Linked DNA regions of Cricetulus griseus. The protein of the gene in region 2 purifies or fractionates together with the protein of the main gene of each other region. This does not show direct contact. Links are inferred from orthologs where the notes say so. Each region holds a gene or a part of one and is shown on either strand. Other genes may lie near its edges.

What was found.
Region 1: the proteins of Golph3 (region 2) and Fam20b purify together in Homo sapiens (affinity purification with mass spectrometry; 3 studies listed by BioGRID and IntAct, with this or other methods). This does not show direct contact. The link is inferred for Cricetulus griseus from reciprocal best matches to the Homo sapiens genes GOLPH3 and FAM20B.

What each region holds. Positions count from the first base shown.
Region 1 is NC_048598.1:35,160,961-35,171,069, forward strand, and holds the end of Fam20b (glycosaminoglycan xylosylkinase), read left to right. Parts: intron 1-882; coding exon 883-942; intron 943-5,008; coding exon 5,009-5,240; 3' UTR 5,241-8,028; downstream 8,029-10,109. UniProt on the Homo sapiens protein: Responsible for the 2-O-phosphorylation of xylose in the glycosaminoglycan-protein linkage region of proteoglycans thereby regulating the amount of mature GAG chains.
Region 2 is NC_048595.1:345,378,768-345,388,876, reverse strand, and holds part of Golph3 (Golgi phosphoprotein 3), read right to left. Parts: intron 5,718-10,109; coding exon 5,603-5,717; intron 124-5,602; coding exon 1-123. UniProt on the Homo sapiens protein: Phosphatidylinositol-4-phosphate-binding protein that links Golgi membranes to the cytoskeleton and may participate in the tensile force required for vesicle budding from the Golgi.

The DNA.
Region 1 (10,109 bases), on a different chromosome or scaffold from region 2:
CTGGGGTGGGAGGGCTTGGGATCCAAATATCCTGAACTGAATCTCCCAAAGGCCTCACCTCTTACAGCCTTGCACTGGGGATTAAGTTGCAACAAGAACTTGGGGGCAGCAAAAATATTCAAAGGATAGCAGCTGCTTTGCCTGCACTGTCGTCAGGGCTAGTAGATTCTCCAGTCATTAAAGGAAGTTTTAGGAAAAGAATGGAAGGGCCCGGGTGGTGGTAGTACAGGCCTTTAACTCCAGCACTTGGGCAGAGGCAGGCAGATCTCTGTAAGTTTGAGGCCAGCCTGGTCTACAGAGCAAGTTCTAGAACAGCCAGGACTACACAGAAACAAAAAGAATGAGAGGGTGATCATTTTCCCAGAGTCACCATTCCTTTCCTAATGGAATGCTATTTTTATATCTGCTATGAGCTGATTCTGTCTCAACCTCTGAAAGCTCCTGGGCAGTTTTTCTGGTTTGAAGCTGCCAGCAGGTTTGCTTACAGGAATAAGGTTTTAATGATTCCAGAAGTAATATACACCTGGCTTTTGGAGGAAGTATCAGGGAGAGCCTTTTAAACGTTGTATAGGCTTAGGATTTCTGCATTCTCCCTTTGCACTGGGAACTCAAAGTGTGTACCACAGCATCTTACGGCATCTTGACAGGAAAAGGGTCCTTGTTACATGAGTTTATTTGCTATTTGATACTTTAGTTCAGGCTGTTAATGATCCTGTGTCTAATTAGTTATGCCTGGCTTATTTTTAATTTAAATGATTTGAGCTGTTGGAGCATGAAATTATCTAGGATCACAGTTGGGTTTTTACAGAATGTGCTCTTGCTTTGATGCTGAGAAGGGAACAAACACTTGGACCTAATTTACTGTCTTAATTTAATTTTCAGCTTTGGGAACCCCTCGCTGGATGAGAGAAGCATTCTTGCCCCTCTCTATCAGTGTTGCATGTAAGTTAATGCATAGCAGGTGTGTCTGCCTGCATTACCTCCTTCAGGTTCAGGTACCAGTACATCGGTTTTCTTGACCTTAAAACATCCGGGTTGCTTTTCCTACTTCTATAACCCAGAACCCCTGTAAAGCCTGACAGTGCTGAGGGAAGCACAGAGGTAGGTCACCCAAAGCTCGGAATTCATTTTGAATTTTGCATCAGTAAGTTTGTAGTATCTATAGTAATACATGCCTGTTTGGCTTAATATACCTATCACCTGCTAAAAACAATCTAGCTGGGCTTCATCCCCAGCACCTAAGATGCAAAAGCAGGTGGATCTCTGTGAGTTTAAGGCTACCCAGGACTACATAGTGGGTTCTAGGCCAGCCAGGACTACATAGTGAGACAATCTCAAAAAAATTGGTTTGCTTTTTTTAAATCGGTTACAATCTGCATTCTTCGTTGCTGCATCTGGTTTACCTTGTTTCAGACCCTCCCACCTGGAGTTTGTATGTCTTAGTTTGAAGTTATCTAATCCAAAAATAACTTCCTCTAAGTATTTAAAGAGTGATTTAAATATAGTAGAGATTAAAGAAACTGAGAAGTAAATCAAGAAAATGAAATAAAACCTGGCCCTAGGAGCTCCTGCTTCAGGTCCCAGCTCCTGGGCTGATTTTGAAGTTTGCATATCAAGAACCAGCAGGATTTGCCTCACTGGCTGCAGAAAGCAGGTCTGGGAACACCCTAGTGCTAGTCATCCCAGAAACAGCCCCTGTGACTTTGCCTTCTTTCTGTCTTTTCACTTGTCTTATCTGTCTGTCTGTGTTTTTCCAGTGCTGGAACTAAATTCAGAATCTTGTGCCTGCTAAGCAAGTACTTTACCACTGAAGTATACACCAGTGTCCCCCACCACATGCGCGCGCGCACACACACACACACACACACACACACACATACACACACACACTTCTGCTATTGTATGTGTGAACATAGGCATATGTGTGCATATATGTGTGTAGGTTTGAGGACAGTCTTGGTGTCATCCTCAGGAACAGCACACCCTTTTTTTTTTTTTTTTTTTTTTTTTTTAAGAAAAGGTCTTTTATTGCCCTGGAACTTACCTGGCTTGCCATTAAGCCCTGGGGGTCCTTGTGTCTCCATTTCCCTGACTCTGTGTTTACAAGTATGTACTGCTCTACATGAATCATAGGGGTCACACTCAAGTCCTTATGGTTGCAGACCACTTTACAGACTCAGCTCTTCAGCCCAACTGTCTCCACCCTTTCCTGTCATTCCCCTCCTTCCCTAGCTCTTCCCCCTGGTCCTTCCTTATTTTCTTTCACACTGCCCTCAGAATCCCAGAATCCTTGCCTCAGTCTCCCAAGTACTGGGATTATATACAAGTCTGTGCCACTGTGCTCAGCCTTTTCTTTCTCAGTAGGAAACTGAGTTCTTTAGAAAGTCATATGTACCTGGGCCGCCCTCATTCTCCTTACTAATGTGGAAAGCTGAGAGCAGGTGGGATACAGGCAGTCAGCAGCTGATGTCATGATCTGCAGAGGAAGAGATGACTCTGGGAAGCCTCTGAGCCACCTTCAGGACACATTTATAGGCCCACAGAGTGAATCAGATTGGTGATGCCATACTGGTCCCTATGTCAGGAAAGCCTCAGTGCTGTCATCCCAGCGCTTAGGGGTGGGAGGGGAGGTGGGGGGAGTAGGAGAAGTATCGTTTTGAGCTGTTTAGCAAATCCAGTCTTCTGGACTACATGAGACCCTGTCTGAAAAAGGGACCTCAGGGAAGTGATCAGATGAGGCTGCAGCTTCATGGGTTTGCATCTTCTGAGAATACAGCTGAGGCAGAGCTTTGTTGGAGACCTCCTTCCTGTACCACTAAACTACTTACCCTACAATAGCCAGAGGCACTGAGAGAGCCCCTTCCTGCTGCACTGTCCCTCTTCTGGTTTATGAGGAGACACTATTGAGAATATGAGAAGCAAATACTGGAGTGTGAAGTTGGTGTGGGTCAATCAAGTAGCAGCTCTGTTACCCTGGAGAAGCTCTGATGCCTGTGCATCTACAGTAGAGTTCAGAGTCACAATGCTGTCCAGTGCATGTAGTCCATCTCTTCTGTGCTTTGTACAAAGACTCATCTTCCTTACTTTAAGTAGCTGCAAAAGAGTCTACTTCTCTCAAAGTAAGACACGTATGCATGCCTGCTTACCTCTCCTGTGTCCACATTCTGCCTAGTTACCTCTCCTGTGTCCACAGAGAGGTAAGAACTTATCTTGAGATAAATCACTTCTCTTTGGTCACTTATTCTATTTCATTCTGCTATAACAGAAAGTCACAAACCAAGGCATTTCCTTTAAATGTATTTTATTTTATTTTTATTATGTGTGTTTGTATGCATTGTGTGTAGGCATGGGCTTGTGTACCAGTGTATGAGTGGAGGTCAGAGGACAGTTTAGGCACTTGACTCCTTCCATCCGCCTTAAATGGTCTCCAGGGATGATACTCTGGTCACCTAATATCAAAACCCTGGCACCCTGAAAGAGCTCTTTAAAAAAAAAAAAAAAAAAAAGATTTTATTTATTTATTATGTATACAACATTCTGCTTCAATGTATATCTGCACACCAGAAGAGGGCACCAGATCTCATAACGGATGGCTGTGAGCCACCATGTGGTTGCTGGGAATTGAACTCAGGATCTCTGAAAGAGCATCCAATGCTCTTAACCTCTGAGCCATCTCTCCAGCCCCTGAAAGAGTTCTTACTGTGTTACTCCTTGACAAGAGATGGAATTGCAGAGGGCAGCATCAGCATCACCTCTGCCCACATGAACTGGTTGAATCTTTAGAATACTGTTCCAGTGGCAACTGCTTTCTCACATGAGTGTTACTGGGGATAAATACCTAAACCATAGCAATTAGTGAAATAACTTAGGGAATTATGTCTGTGCGTCTGTCTTTGTGTCTGTCTGTGGTACTATGTGTTCCTGAATGCAGTGCCTGCAGCAGCCAGAAGAAAACATTGGTTCCCCTGAAGCTTGAGTTACAGGCCACTGTGCACAGCTCAGAAAACTGAACATGGAAACTGAACATGGGTCCTCCCTCTCCAAGAGCAATAAATGCTCTTAATTGCTGAGCCACTTCCATCTCCAAGAAAGTAGTTTTTTTGTTTTTTGTTTTTGTTTTTGTTTTTGTTTTTTTTTCCAGTGGTAGTGGGTGGGGTTTTGAGACAGGGTTTCTGTGTGTATCCCTGGCTGTACTGGAACCTGCCCTGTAGACCAGCCTGGACTTGAACTCACAGAGATCTGTCTTCATATATATATATATGAAGTATATATATATACTCATTCTTAGAGTAAATATTTTTCTATTATTAATGGTTGAATTTTTAAAATTCAGAAATTGAGCATCTGAGGATAGTTCCTGTTAACACAGTGAACTTCATTCTACATTCTAACCCTGCAGTTCCGTTGCTCTAATCATACACGTTAGTTTCCCTACAGATGTGGAATAGAAGTTTTCCTCTCCAATTTTCTCAACTCTAACATAATTATCATGGACATTTCCCCATGCCACTCGGTTTTCAAACCTTTTTAATGGCTGCATGATATTTCCCTAGTGGATTGGCCATAATTTGAAGTATTTCTTGCTTGTTAGACATTTAGATTGGTTCAGTTTTCCTCTTACTGCAATGAATATGTATAAATCTTTGTATATATCTCCTTTGTTTGTTTGTTTGTTTGTTTGTTGAGACCAGATTTCTCTGTGTAACAGCCCTGGCTGTCCTAGAACTCACTCTGTAGACCAGGCTGGCCTTGAACTCACAGAGCTCTGCCTTCCTCTGCCTCCTAAACTGCCCAGCTTTTGTAGATATTTCTAATTACTCCCCAAAATTTACAACATGGCAGTGCAGCTTACTTTTAATAAAGAGGTAAGTCTGAAATAGAAGTGATTTTTTTTCTTTTAGTTGAAATATTTTACACAATTTTTAAAAAAACTTTTCTGCTATCCAAGCTTTATACAGAATTTGATAGAAAGATGTTATGTAACTTCTTTTAAAACTTTTTCTTTCAGCATTCGGGTTTCAACCTGGAATAGACTGAACTACCTAAAGAATGGAGTGCTAAAGTCTGCCTTAAAATCTGCCATGGCCCATGACCCCATCTCCCCTGTGCTCTCTGATCCACACTTGGACACTGTGGACCAGCGGCTTCTGAATGTCCTTGCCACTGTCAAGCAGTGTACTGACCAGTTTGGGATGGACACTGTGCTGGTGGAAGACAGGATGCCGCTCTCCCACTTGTAACTCTCAACGTGAAACAGGTGGAACTGGTTTATACGAAGATAGAGAAACAGCACAATCAATTCCAAGTGGCATGTGATGGCCTGGAAGTGGCCAGCAGCGGGTATTGGTGGTGCTGGGAGTGCTTGGTGTTTACTGCAGTGTCGGCATGGGAGCTTGTCTGTGGAGTCACCTGGCATCCACAGCAGTGGCCTATTCAGGCAGCAGGCTCCATCTCTGGTCAGTCTTATTCCCACAAAAAGGACAAACAGGTGTGACACTGGCTAAGCAGTTTGGTTCCAGAGTTTGTGTCTGGGGTGGAGCATGCCATCTTTTCTCCACACCCATAGATTCTGTAGATTGACTTTGCAGTCCCTTGTGTCTTTAAAAACAAACAACAAACAAAGGCAGAACTAGTCAGATTATAAAATGTCCTGCTCCTCCAGAGTGGCATCAGACAAAAGAGCACAGGCTGCTGGAGGAGACCCATTTTAAGGTAGATGGAGGAAGGGAAGGTCAGGTCAGGAAGGTGTTGGGGCTCGTAGCTATTGAGTGCTATGGATTTGACATCTCAGGGAAGAGAAGAGGGAGGGACTCACTCTGTAGAACCAGGAGGATGATTGCCTTAGTGAAAATCAGCTTCCCCTGTGTTTAGGTTCTTAAATGTGTCCAAAGCAAACACTCACCCTCTAGTCCTGTTCAAATAAACCAAAACTGTCTACAGAGGAAATAGGATTACAACCCAAGCATACTCCCTGCCAGGCACTGACTTACCCTCTAAGTAGCAAAACAAGCTGAAATAATACAAGTTTGGTACCTGTGATCTCTGTCATCCTCACCTTCCCCACACACACACACACACCTTGTTGGTATTGTTTATTTTGAGGTAGACTATAGGCTCTTACTCTAGCCCATGCTGGTCTGGAATTTAGTATATAATCAGGCTAGCTTTGAACTGGCAGCAATCCTCCTGCCTCAGCCTTCCACATGCTAGGATTATTAGTATGAGCAACCATACTCACCTCTCGTTTCTCTTCTAAGGTGTAAGGCATTTAATCAGCGATGCTGCTGTCATGAGGTTAATGGCCTTGTTTGTGCCTTCTTATTAGAAAGCGTCCTGCTGGTTGCTGGACTGAGCTTGTGATGTAGGCCCTGCAGGTAGCAGAGAAAAAGATTTTAAGCCTTCTGAGCCTTGAAACTGAGACTACCATGAAGAGCCTTAATATTTTGGTTCATATTGGAGTTTTGAACCCATGGTGTAGTTAGTAGAATTCATCTCCTTGCAGCATTGTCAAGTTTAGGCTTAGTTGTGTGTTCTGGCAAAGTCACTTGACATGGAAGCAGCTGGTGGTAAATTACAGGGCTCGGGACGGTGTCCACACACGGAGCTGTGTGTTCCCTCTGCCTCTTGTCCAGTTCTGGACTTCTGTCAAGACCAGCCTTTCAGTGCCATGCTTGACATTTAGTGCCAGCCATGGAGCCTGGATTGAGCAACTACCTTCTGAGTTTAAGCCCTCAGGTTTCTCACACTTGGCAAGGTTGGCAGGGCAGGGAGGCGGCCATAAGCTTCTAGCTCCAAATTTATAGACACAAAAGTTGTGTTGGAGAAAAAAGGAGAGGCACGTTTTTAAAAAGTGTTGTAACTCTGGCCTCTTTCCAGGTCATTTATGAGAGTTAGGGCTGTTATAATCAAGCCACCAGAGGGAGCTAGGTCTGCTCTAAATTACATTTGCCAACTGAACACTGAATACATGGACATATTTACTACAAAACCAAGAAACTGGAACCTATTGCAGTTTCCTCATTTGCTCCCACTTCTTAAATATATGTATTCTGAAGTTGAAATGAGAAATTTAGGTATAGAATTTTTATTCTCAAACTGTTCCTTAGTCTCAGGCTGCACTGTGCTATAAATTCCTTTTAAAACAATGGGCTCTAATTTGCTGAAGATGGGTGGTATTTTTAAGGTATGTCTCCCTGTTTGCACTCAGGGTTAAAGTGTCAAGACTAAATTTTAAGAAGAAAATGGAAGGATTTGACTACATTTATTACAGATTATTTTAGCAAAGTGAATCCTGGCAGCTTTTCTTTTTTTCCCAGTGCTGGTGACAGAATTGCCATCCAAAGAATTTGTGTTTTCTTTGAAACACTCACACCTTGGCTCTGCATCTCCATGACCACACCCTTCAGCCTCCCTTCTCATTCCTCACTTGGTCTCTTTGACCAGCAATTGACCTTCTCTTGTGACCATAAGACAGCTTCGGTCAGCAAGCTCCCTTGTGCCTCTGATCTGGCTTTCAGGATGGTGGGTACAGGGCTTTTTGGGTCAGTATGGCCGTGTTGTATTCTGCCAAGGAACATAGATTTCCTTTGACACAAGGAAATACTGACTGACACTGAGAAAGGACTTGGCCAGTAAAGGTTAGCACGTTCACCAAGCATCTCCTGAGCAGTCTGCTGAGCCAGGTGACCTGACTGTGAAACTTGCTCCATGGGGGAGGCTGGCTTTTCTCCCCTGTATCTCTCTAGGCTGGGTGGTGAATGGGGACTGGGTACTGCACTGTCACGCGTTTTTAGGACCTACAGTGATCCTCAAACTATTGGGGGAGGCTGGGAATAACTTACTGGGAGATTAATTTATTTGTCTAAAGGGTGGTGTAGGCATCACTGCCCTCTTGTTTGATCTGCCTGGGATTTCCTCTTGGAGCTGTTGTACAGACAGAGGTTGTACTTGGTAAGACACCAAACAAATTTCTAATGTGTTCTATGGGTTTCAATTCTGAAAAAGAAATAATAAAGATTTTAATATATATTATTGTATCATGTTTTCCTGTTAATACTTTTTTTTTCTCCCCAGTGCTTCCTATTCCATTTTCCTACCTGTTTTTAAGGAACAAAACATTACATCCTTTGCCTCTACTTAAACTTCCATAGGGATTGCTTCCAGTGAGTGAGCGCCACAGACTTAGGCCCACACAGTCAGCTGTAGCGGACTTCAAAGTTGTCATAATCTTCAGGGTGTCCTGGATGTTTAATAGTTAGCTCCTTTCTCGAAGCTTCTTGTGAGATGAAGAACTATGAATCCTAAGTAGGACTTAGCAGAAACAAATTCCCCTGATTAGAATTCTTAGGATACTCAGAATTTTCATTTTTGAAATGGAAATCCAGTATCTTAAACCCTCAGCCAAGGGCTAGAGTGATGGCTCAGTGGTTAAGAGCACTGTCTGCTCTTCCAGAGGTCCTGAGTTCAATTCCCAGCAACCACATGGTGGCTCACAACCATTTGTAATGAGATCTGGTGCCCTCTTCTGGCTTGCAGGCATATGTGCAGGCAGAACACTGTATACATAATAAATTAAAAGTAAATAAACCCTCCACCAGACAAGCAGCTTAGATTTCCTCTTGGTTTGCTGCCAGCTCTTGTCTTTGTATTTGTCCATCACAATGGAGAGCAGGCCAAGACTGGTGTGTGTTCCTCCCTGACGTATCACGTTGTATTGTTGTGATTAGAACACCATGACCAAGGCAACAAGTTATCAGATAAGGGCCCATGGTGGAGAGGTAGAGGTGGCAGGAATGGTGGCTGGAGCAGAAGCTGTGGGCTCACCCCTTCAACCACAAGCATGAAGCAGAGCAAATTTGAAATGATAGGAGTCTTAAACTTTCTTTTTTTTTTCTTTTTGGTTTTTCGAGACAGGGTTTCTCTGTACAGCTTTGGAGCCTGTCCTGAAAGACACTCAGTAGACCAGACTGGCCTTGAACTCACAGATATCCGCCTGCCTCTGCCTCCCAAGCACTGGGATTAAAGGTGCACCACCACCCGGCTAAACTCTTCTTTTTTTAAGACAGAGTTTCTCTGTGTAGCAATGGCCACTCTGGAACTCTCTCTAGACCAGGCTGGCCTTGAACTCAGGACCACCTACCTCTGCCTCCCAAGTGCTGGGATTAAAGCCAGGGGCCACCACTGTATGACAGGTCTTTAACTCTTAACTCCTTCCTCCGGTCACAAGGCCATAGCTCCCAAACCTCCCAAACGTCACCATCAATTGCAGACCAAGTATTTGAATGCCCAAGACTGAGGGACAGTTCTCATTCAAATGGTCACATAGATCTTCCTGCACACGCCACAGGAGGACCCCTTCACTCCTCAGCACACGTATGGCTTTCATTTCTTAGAGCAGGCGGCGCGGGGGGGGGGGGGGCAGTATAAACCCCAGTATGCATCTGTGTCCTGAGCAATGCAACATGCCACCCAGATGTGACTGGCCCTTCATGTAAGAAGCCTCTAGAACAGGAGTTCTCACCCTTCCTGCTGACACCCTTTAATACAGTTCCTCTCAACAATGATGGAATAAAAGCTCCATGACTCCAGAATTGGGGAGCTGTGAACTCAAGATTCAGGACCACCAGGGCCTGCACTTCTGTCCCCTGCCTGAGGTCATTGTGTTGAGTGTACCCTCTCTTGAAAGAACAGTCACAGAGCACAGGGATCCCACAAGTGCCCTAGGCCACGGAGGTTGAACCTTTACCAGGTGAACTAGGACACATTCATCCTGGTGGTTTCAGGGTCTGTTTACCAAATTTATTTATTTGGAGATAAGAGGCTTGTGTTGTCCCCAGAGATTGTTTTCAAGAGAGATGGTCCTGGCTACCTTCAGCGGGGTGGGAAGTGGCTTTTCAAAAGTGAGGTTCAGAGCTGGAAAGGTGGCTCAGAGGTTAAGAGCTCTGCCTGCTCTTCCAGAGGTCCTGAATTCAAGTCCCAGCAACCACATGGTGGCTCACAGCCATCTATAATGAGATCTGGTGCCCTCTTCTGGTATGCAGGGATACAAGGAGGCAGAATGCTGTACGTACACATAATAAATAACTCCTTTTAAAAAAGAAAAGTGAGGT
Region 2 (10,109 bases):
TGTCAAACAGGAGAAAGTTCTGTTTCTCTGTCGTCAGTACACCCTTTTCTACCAGGTTTTTGGCTAATCGTTCCCGTACATTTCTTAACTGATAGTGCAATTTTAATGGATTCCACGTCTCACCTAAGTAAGAATGTTCCAGAAGTTAGAATTATGGGTATTATTTGCTGAACTATAACAACAACAAAAAACGAAATATTAGATAAGCAAAAGAACTTTTATTCTTGCCCCTTCCCCACATGAAGTCCAAGTCTGGACCACTGGGTTCCAGGCACCCATCATTCTCAGGCATAGTAGTCTTCAATCCACAGCCACCCTTGATCTAAAAGAATAATGAACCAAGTATTAAGTTTTGTTCCTGCCTGCTCTGGCAGAACATGGGGCACAGACTCGCCAGATGGAGGCGGGGGCTCTCAAGTGTGGAAGCATCTGGGCTACATGCAAAAGACTGTCCTACAAAATAAAAGCAGCACAAGGCCCTTGCAACCCTCAATACTAACAGCACCCCAAAGAAGCAGTAAATGGATCCCCACAAAGTACTGATCTTCAACAGAAAAAAGGAAAGTGAAGCTCTGTGGTTTTGAGTTACTCCTGACACTGACACTAAGACAATCTGTGAGACAGCAAAGTGTGTGTGGACAAGGATAAAAAATTATATAAAGTTGACCCCTGAAGAGAAAAAAAAAAAAAAAAAAAAAAAAAACATTTTCAAAGTTTTTTGTTTTGTTCTGGAGACAAGGTTTCTCTGTGTAGTCTCTGCTGTCCAGGAACTCACTCCATATACCAGGCTGACCACCAACTCAGAGACCTGCCTGCCTGCCTCTACCTCCCCAGTGTTGGGATTAAAGGCACATGCCACCACCACCGGGCATCATTTTTAGTTCTTAAGTCTGTCACCTAAAATCACTTCCTTTTAAGACAAATACTTGGTTAAACTAAGCATTTCCCATTAAAAATAATTTTCAGCTTAGCATGGTGGTACATGCCATTAATCTACAGCCTCATCTACAGAAGTGAATTCCAGGAGAGCTAGGGCTATATATAGAAACCCTATCCCCCCCCCACAAAAAAAAAAAAGCCCTTTACAAAATTTGGTAAGAAGCAAAAATATTAGTAACTTTGACTAACTTTCAGATTATATGTAACAAGTTTAACTGTATTTTCCAAAGATCACCAATGAACACAGAACTACTTTTGCAGTTTGGGGGAAAAACAAAACATCAAAGGACTTTTCTAAACCACAACCCATTAAAAACCAACCCCAAACCCCTTCCTTCGGCATAGACTCTAAGGCTGTGAAGTTTTAGAACACTAAGAGAATCTACATTACTAAAGCTGTAACATGGAGAGTAACATGGAGCTATTTAAAATTTCAGTCCCTCAGCTCTACAAGCCACATTTTAAGTATGAAAAGTCGTAAGTAGCTGGCCTATTAGTTACTCACTAGGCAGCACAGAACACTGTTATCACAGGAAGGACTAGTGAACTGTGGCACCTGGAATGAATTTCTGTTCAGATGGCCACAGAAACTATTTTATTGTCACCTAACAGTAAAAAATTATCCTTGGCAGGAGCTCAGTAACACTTAAGCGTACATGATGCTCACACAGGGCCGGGAGTTTGATCCCAGCATCCACGTCAGGTGCCTCACAGCCAGCTTTAACTCCAAATTCCGGGGGTGGGGGGGGGTGGGGGGGCAATGCCTTATGACCTTTTCCAGGCACCTGGTATACACACATACAGTCAGGGACACATACATAAAATAAAAATTAAAAGACTACCTGGACAGCAAAACAATCCTTGTTTTAGAAATATGGGGAAAATAATTTTCAGATACTGGTCATAAAGCATTCCAAAATGAGACTTTCGGGCAAAACCTATTGAGTTTCAGAATTGTCCCAACTACACTCCCTAGTATATCCAAAGTAACAAAAACGCACAGCACAGCGGTCACCCTAACTCAGTCACCCCACCCAAGTCTGTGGTCAGAGATCAAGATGGCTAAAGCAGCTGAAAGATACAAGGCAGAGTACAGAAGGTCTAGAGACCTGCACCATATTCTCAAGTCTCGGAAAACTAAGCCACACAAGTTGAATCGAGAAACTGCAAAGCTAAGCAAAAAGACAAATACCAAAAAGTTAGACGATGCCAAGAGTTTTCAGAGAGGTGAGTAAAACCTGTATACCAACTAGCCTAAGGGGAACACTTATGGACTGTCTGAGACACAAGAGGACCAGGAAAGACCACACTTTAGGAACAAGGCTGAACTAGTCTCAAGCGAAAACTACTCTGGCCTGTACTATCCAAGCTTTAAAGCATGATCCACAAGTCACTTAAATGTCTGTCTACCAAAGGAAAAGCCAACAGTCCCCCCACCCCAGAGGAAGAGAGACAATACGGAGATTGAATTCAGGACCTCCCATATTCTAGGCAGGCACCCTAAAAATCAAACACTCTTTAAACAAAGACAGCAAGTTCAGAATTTTATATTCACAATGCTGAGTGTTCAATTTTAAAACAGTAACACATTAGATTTACAAAGAACAAAATGTGTCCCAAAACTAATGGGGAATGGAAATAGCCAACCAAATCAACTATGAACAAAAAATAACAAAATGATAATCAGCAAACAAGGATTTTAAAGAGAGCTAGTATAACACCTATGCAATTTAAAGGAAATGAGCACAAAATAGGAACTACCTTTTAGAAAGAATTATCTGAGACAGGCTTTTATTACATTATTTGGCATGTATGTGTGTACACATGTACGTGACTCATGCCACAAATGCGGAGATCAGAGGACAGCTTGCAGGAGTCCGTTCTTTCTTTCCATTGGGTTATCAGGCCTGGCAGCAAGTACCTTTAACTCTGAGTCATCTCATTGGTCCATGCAAGAATCATTAAAATGTTGCAATTTACTTTGGAAAAGGACTTAATGAATATGATAAAAGGTTGGTACTGTGAATTACTAATAAGCAAGGCCATTTTGTTCATTTAAAGAAAAACATTTCAAATAAAAAGTCACAACAAATCAGTCTCTGCAAACGCCTATGGTCTCAAACATGCACACACACTACTTCATAAGGTAGTATTTACAATGTTCTTGGGAATCATAGTACCAAGAATATAAACATTAAGACTTATTTCTAACCTTTTAGGAATTACAATTAAGTGAAAAGAAACCTTCATAATTTACTGGCTAGAATAAAATGGGAATGGGGCCCTAAGAACAAAATGAGGCATTAGAAATGATTAATAAGGGTTATCTCTAAGAAAGTTACGGGGGAAGGGGCACTCAAGCTACATCTAGTCTTCCAGAAAGAATAAACATTTAAGAACAGAAGAAACAGCACAAGTGCACAGCAGTGATGACCTTCTTTCAAAGGTTCTTGTAACTTCCAACTTTTAACTCAATCTGTCATCTCCCAAAGTGCCTACTCATCACCTGACAGCTTGGGTTTTGGATTTTATCGTTTCCTAATGCCAGTGTCAGGAAAGCAAACAACCCTAACCTAAAATCAGACATGTATTAGCTAACTTTGGAGAATACAAGCTAATACAACAGAAGATGATAGCCACATTTATATAAATACTTAAAAATCTACACTTTAACTCTGCCATAAACTATGCATACAGTAATCTATATGATGTCAAAGAAACACTTTCTCCTAGCAACACTAGCTAATTCATTATTACTGTCTGAATACACTTATATTTCCACAGAACTGAAGTGCAACACAACTGTGTTCTAACAGTCTGTCACACTTCAGATGACATCTTGACTATCTCAGGGAACCAGGCATGGCAGCAAGTGCCTGTTTATCTGCTGAGCCTTCTCACTGGCCCACTCTAATCTTCTGAAAAGGTACATTTTCTTTTGTGTGTAGAATTTTTGCCTTTTAAAGGTCTAATCCAAACTCTACTTCCTATTTTTCCCTTAACCAAACTTTTAGAGAGCTATGAGTATTAAATTATTGGACATAATTTAACTGTCTCTGTGTAATAAGTTCATAGCATCTATGTCAGTACCATGCAACACTGGCATTCACACAGTACACCACATACTTTTCTGTAGCTCATACTTCTACAGTGCAGGGTAGGTGTCAAATCCAGGGTTTTGCACATTCTAAATCTTTTAGGACTATAACTCTGATGTGGACCACTTTGAAACAACTGAAATTTGAAAAGGAAAAAAAAAAAAATGTTCCCACCACCAAACTGTCCACAGACCTACATACTTAAAATACAGGAAAGCAGCTTGATGGCTCAGCGAGCAAAGCCACTTGCAGCCAAGCATTACCATCTCAACCTACCCCACGGCTCAAATGATGAGAACTAACTCTTGCATGTTGTCCTATGACCTCTACCCTGTGCCAGGGCACACTCACTCCCCCGCCACATCCACTCCCTCCCTCCCTCCCTCTCTCTCTAACATGTGTGCGCGCACTGCTTCTCTCTAAAAGAACATATTAGCTGGGCAGTAGGGGCACACGCCTTTAATCCCAGCACTTGGGAGGCAGAGGCAGGCGGATCTCTGTGAGTTCGAGACCAACCTGGTCTGCAAGAGCCAGTTCTAGGACAGCCTCCAAAGCCACAGAGAAATCCTGTCTCGAAAAACCAAAATAAAATAAATAAAACGTATTTAAAAACTCAAAGTTATTAGCCAGCCAGCTGAAATCTGGTCCATTTGCTCAATAGGGTGCACGTGACTGTTTTCCCCTAAGCCTTGCACATGGAACCAAGCATTCCATCACTAAGCTCCAACCAGAACCACCGTTCCTATACTAACAATGTGCTTTGTTTTCTCTTCCCTTTTTTCATGTCAACATGGCAGTTCACTACTAATATATTCCTGATAATAAAATGTGCTAAACACAACACTCTGGCATTTATAGACAATCTAAAAACATGAGGCATTGTCTAAATATTTTCCTCATGGATTCTGACCTAATCCAATGAACATCCATCCTACTGTATTGGGGGAAAGTGTATAGAATTTTTCAATGCTCTAGTGAGCTCAAGTTGAAAACCAAATTCAGTCAGCACTCACAGTAGTAAGATTTAGTAAGCAACCATACAACGTTAATTAGTTAAGTAAAACCACCTTAACCTATTAACCCAACCCCTTAGGACAATACTTGTTTGGATACACGCACTGTCAAAGGATATCCAGTGATCCAAGACACTGACCGCCAGACTGGACAAAGCCCAATGAGCCCCTGGTATACATAAGATCAAGAAATAGCTTATAGTTTATAAAGACATCCTCACAGCTTGGCCCACTCTGTAAGCAGTAAACTGTAACAATGATTCTGATAAAGAATGATGGCAACAGGCATGGTGGTGCAAGCTTTAATCCCAGCACTTAGGAGGCAAAGGCAGGTGGATCTGAGTCAGTAGCTCAGCCATGACTACAAAGCAATGAGACCTTGACTCAAACAACAGATGAGAGCTTGAAGGAAGAACATTCCATCTCATTTAGTATCTGCTCTCTCATGTAAAAGGAGATAATTTTTTTTAATTATCACTCCGCTACCATTTTCCATAATTAAAAACTTCTCTAAGCAGAATTTCATGATTACCGTTTAATACATCAGCTTACCGCTAAGTAACTCAATCCAGTTCTGGACTGTCTCTGGAGGCTGAGTCTCCTTAACATGCTTTAGAGCTTCATCAAGAAGAACATCCCCTGTTGGAGCATCCGATTTACAGACCACCTAAAACACAAGCAGTCAGAAATGATCCACTGGTACTGTCTTCCCTCAAACTCATTAGATGAAAAACAAGTATGCAAATATTTCATGCTCAGAGCACTTACTGTAATTTCACTTGATGCTGAACCTTAAGCTATTTATTTTTTTAAAGATTTATTTGTTTGTTTGTTTATTATGTATATAACATTCTGCTTCCATGTATATCTGCACACCAGAAGAGGGCACCAGATCTCATAATGGATGGCTGTGAGCCACCATGTGGCTATTTAATGCAGAAATTCATTCACTATAACATTCTTAAGACTCAGAAACAGACTCAACTATATGGAAAAATTTATATAGTAAAAGGGCATTTCACATAAGTAACAGAACTAATTTTCTCAAAAAATGTCATTAAGAAAACTTTGACAAGTTGGAACAAAAACAAAATTAAGAAATGGCTCCCTTGAGCTTATGCTCAATAAAAGATAATAAAAAATATGAAGGGAAATACAATTTTAAGGATAGGTTTTATTTTAAATGCCACTGCTAGCAGAAGCCTTAATGGCTGCAAAATTACTCTATTTCCAGCACCAAGAGGGTGAGGATCGGAGGTGGGAGGGGCCGAGGACAGTCTCTAAATCTGTAATTAAAACCTGTGTCGGGTTAAAATCTTAATAGTGAAAAAGGGGCTCAAGCACACTGGCTGCTCTTCTAGGACTTGGGTTTATTTCCAGCACCAGCTCACAATCATCTGTAACTCCAGTTCCAAGGAATCCAACACCTTCTGATCTCTGCAATTACAGCATGCATGTGGTGCAAAGACATACATGCAAACAAAACATCCAGACACATAAAAGAAAAGAAATAAACCTCAAAAACAAGAGTGGAAGATCCTGGGGAGTGAGTAGGAAAGCAGCCCATACTGCCACACTACTCAACAACCTTAGGTTCCCATAGGCTTCACTCAGGTATCTCCTAAACAACACATTTCTAGTTGAAATTCTGTAATACCAAAATTCAACCCATTACAGTACCTTGGAGCGGATATTTAAAATGTTTAAATATGACTGTTCTCTCATACTTGTTTGGCTCAATCTCACTAAATATTAAAATATGTAAGACCTTATTCTTCAGGATTACACAAGAGAAATATACAACCTTAATGCCAACCACAAATCTAGCCTTGAGGAAACAACAAAGTGAAATTTATTTTTAAATATTGGATTTAACCCAATATAACCAAAAACTGTCCCATAATAGATATTTGTTTAAAAGCTGAGATATTGTTTCCACTAATACTGTTTTTAAAAACCCAATGTGTTTTTACAGCACAGATCAATTTTCGATGGTGGCCTGATTACTATGCTGGACAGTACAGATACAGAAATATTCAGAATGTTCATTCCATGGTGCTTAGTTAGACCAGGATTTATGGAGGAGAAAAAGAACTTCGGGAGAAAAGAATACTATGTCTCTGGTGTTGCAGCCATGAAACCTACACTTTTTTCTTCCACTCCTTCCCTCTTTCCATGTGGTCAGGAGCTGGCATCATCAGCCACCTTCCTCGTGCACCCCACTTTAAGGCAAGTGATTTATCAGAGTACAAATAATCCGGCTATAAGCAGATAATTTATTTTCTTCTCAGTTCTGCTTTAAATCTTCCTCACATGTGTCACCTCCTCTATTATCTTTGCCAGGATTTTAGCCCCCAAGTCTGACCATCTTTCATTTGGAATAATTTGTCTCCTGACTAAAGGTCTTCAACTTTTTAATGTTTTGGGGATACTTTTATTTATTTGATAACTTTATAACATAGATACACTGTAACTTGATCATATCCAACCCAAACTTCCCAACCCTTCTCCTCTCACTTCAGTCCCCCACCCCCAATACACACACACACACACACTCACTCGGGGGGGGGGGGGAATATTAGCCCACTGTGTCTAGCTAGTGTGTGGCCTGTATGCACTTGGGTGTGAGAGGCAACCTACCAGTGGTCACACACACCAATCTCCCCTGCAGCCATCAGTTGCTCCTCAACTGGGGGGTGGAGGGACTTTCATGAGACCTCTCCACTTGGCGCTGGAATGCTAACTGGCTTCATCTTATACAGGTGCTGTCTGTGAGTGCACAAGGGGAACACCTTTGGCATCTTTCAGTTCCAAGCTCCAATCTGAGCTCTTCAAGGGGCAAATCTTATATTTCATTGCTCGTGACCAAAACGAATCAGAGAATCAAACAAATTCTAAATTCCTTTTAAAATGTCAAGAATAGCCAGACTTTCATCTCAGCACTTTGGGAGGCAGAGGCAGGTGGATCTCTGAGCTTCTGAGGCCAGCCTGAACTACAGAATGAGTTCCAGCACATCCAGAGCTGCAGAGAGAAACTCTGCCTTGAAAACCAAAAAAGAAAAATACTTCAGTATGTGTGGGTTTAAAATATGCGCTACAATTCTTGCTACATCCAACATAGAAGAGACGGAAAGAAGATAAAACAAGACCTCTGAGGAAATGTATTATATAGATAAAGGAGTTTCAAAAAGCCTCAAGGATTTAACAAACAATATTAGATTCATAAAATAAGAAACCCTGTGGGAACTGCAACCTTAGAGCAAAGAGGCCCAAGATCAGCTGTGCAGCAGATGGGCATGGGTGGTGAGCAATGAGGACATGTATGTGGGCAGATGCAGCCAGAAGCTAAGAAATCAAACAACCCAAAACCAGGGGGCTATAAACAGATTCTCCCTTAGAGCCTTGGGAAAAACAACACAACTACATCTCCTAACTCTGACCTCCAAAACTGAGAGAATTCTTTCTTGCTTAAAGCCCCTATGGCTGTGGTCATTTGTTAGGGTGGCTTTAAAATAACTAAAGACAGTGATGGCACATGCCTTTAATCCTAGCACTCAGGAGACTCTCTGAGTTTGAGGCCAGCCTAGTCTACATACTGAGCTCCAGGACAGATGGGACTACAGAGACACACTATCTCAAAAAAAGACTAATATAGTTGGCTTCCAGAAACAGAAGTAACGAATGAGGAAAAACAGCTACTTTTGGTTTTCTAACTGTATCATTCTTAATTAAATCAGCAATTACTTTTAAAATTTAACTAAGTCATATGGAATATTTTCCAGCAACCTTACCTTCTTCACATCACTCAGAACTAGACTGACTTAAAGTTTCACCACTGTTTCCCAGAGTCTAGCACAGTGCATGATGTACTAAAACACTGAATGAACAATGAATAAAGGAACAGACGATCACCAGTTGCTCATGCACAGCACAAAACTGACTCCTGTTAGCACAATATTCTTTCTTAGGTCAGGACTCTAATGAAAAGTTCCTAAATTAGTAACCTGTATATGCATTCTATTATTAGCTACAACGACAGCTTCCTTGGGTTGTTTTTGCCCATAAACTACTACAGTCGCTGACGAACATAAAATTGTAACCTGATTTATGATATAGTTATCCAAAACAGTAATTTGTTAAGTTTTCTCAATGCCAGCTCACTTGTCTTGAGGGCAAATGGCTGGATTTACCATAGAGATGCCATGAAAGCGTTTCTATGGTGTCAGCCTATAATCTCGGCAGTCCAGGGACTGTCAGAAGATCTAAATTCAAAGCCTTGCAAGTGCTACACAGCAAGACTGACTCAAACAAACATGTCCACATTACTCCACTCATCCAGTACTGAGCTCAAACACAGGCCCTCACACACTCTAAGGGAGCACTCACCCTAAGCTAGCTGCATTTACTCCAATCCAGCAATATTACTTCCTGCATATAACTTTCATTAACACATTATGACATGCCTTCTTATAACATTATCATGCTCTGGTTTATCAGTCAGAAAATTCAGAGCAAGGAATGAAGCACAGGCTTGTATTCTTCGTGCTCTGCAGACAGAGTCAGCAGACCTCCAGGTGAAGGCCAGCATGAGCTACATAGTGAGTTCCAGGGTCAGCCTTGGTTACATTTGTTAGAATCCTTTATCACTTATTACAGAAGTAGCGATTAACATTCTAGGTATCAGCTCCAGAATATTTGTTACTATGAATTTGGTTGTATATAGAATATATACTGGGTGCATTGTATTCTCAAATAGACCCCAGAGAAAGGAATCCTTCTCACCGGGGTGTCACAGTAAGCGCTGCAGCCTCAGATCTCACACTATGTAAACGTAGTTTTCCCTTTGATATATAGCACTGAGAAGCCCCCTTTAATGAATTAACAGCATGTATTGCAAGTCACATGCCCCAAGACTTAAGTTTGCCAGGACGTTTTGCAAGTCACGTCCAGGAGAAGAGATGTAAGACACCGGCTTTTCTCAAGATCCTACCCGCCTTCCTGGCTCTAAGAGATATGCATGTTTTATTGTCAGAAAATTGTCAAAATTAGAAGTCTTGTG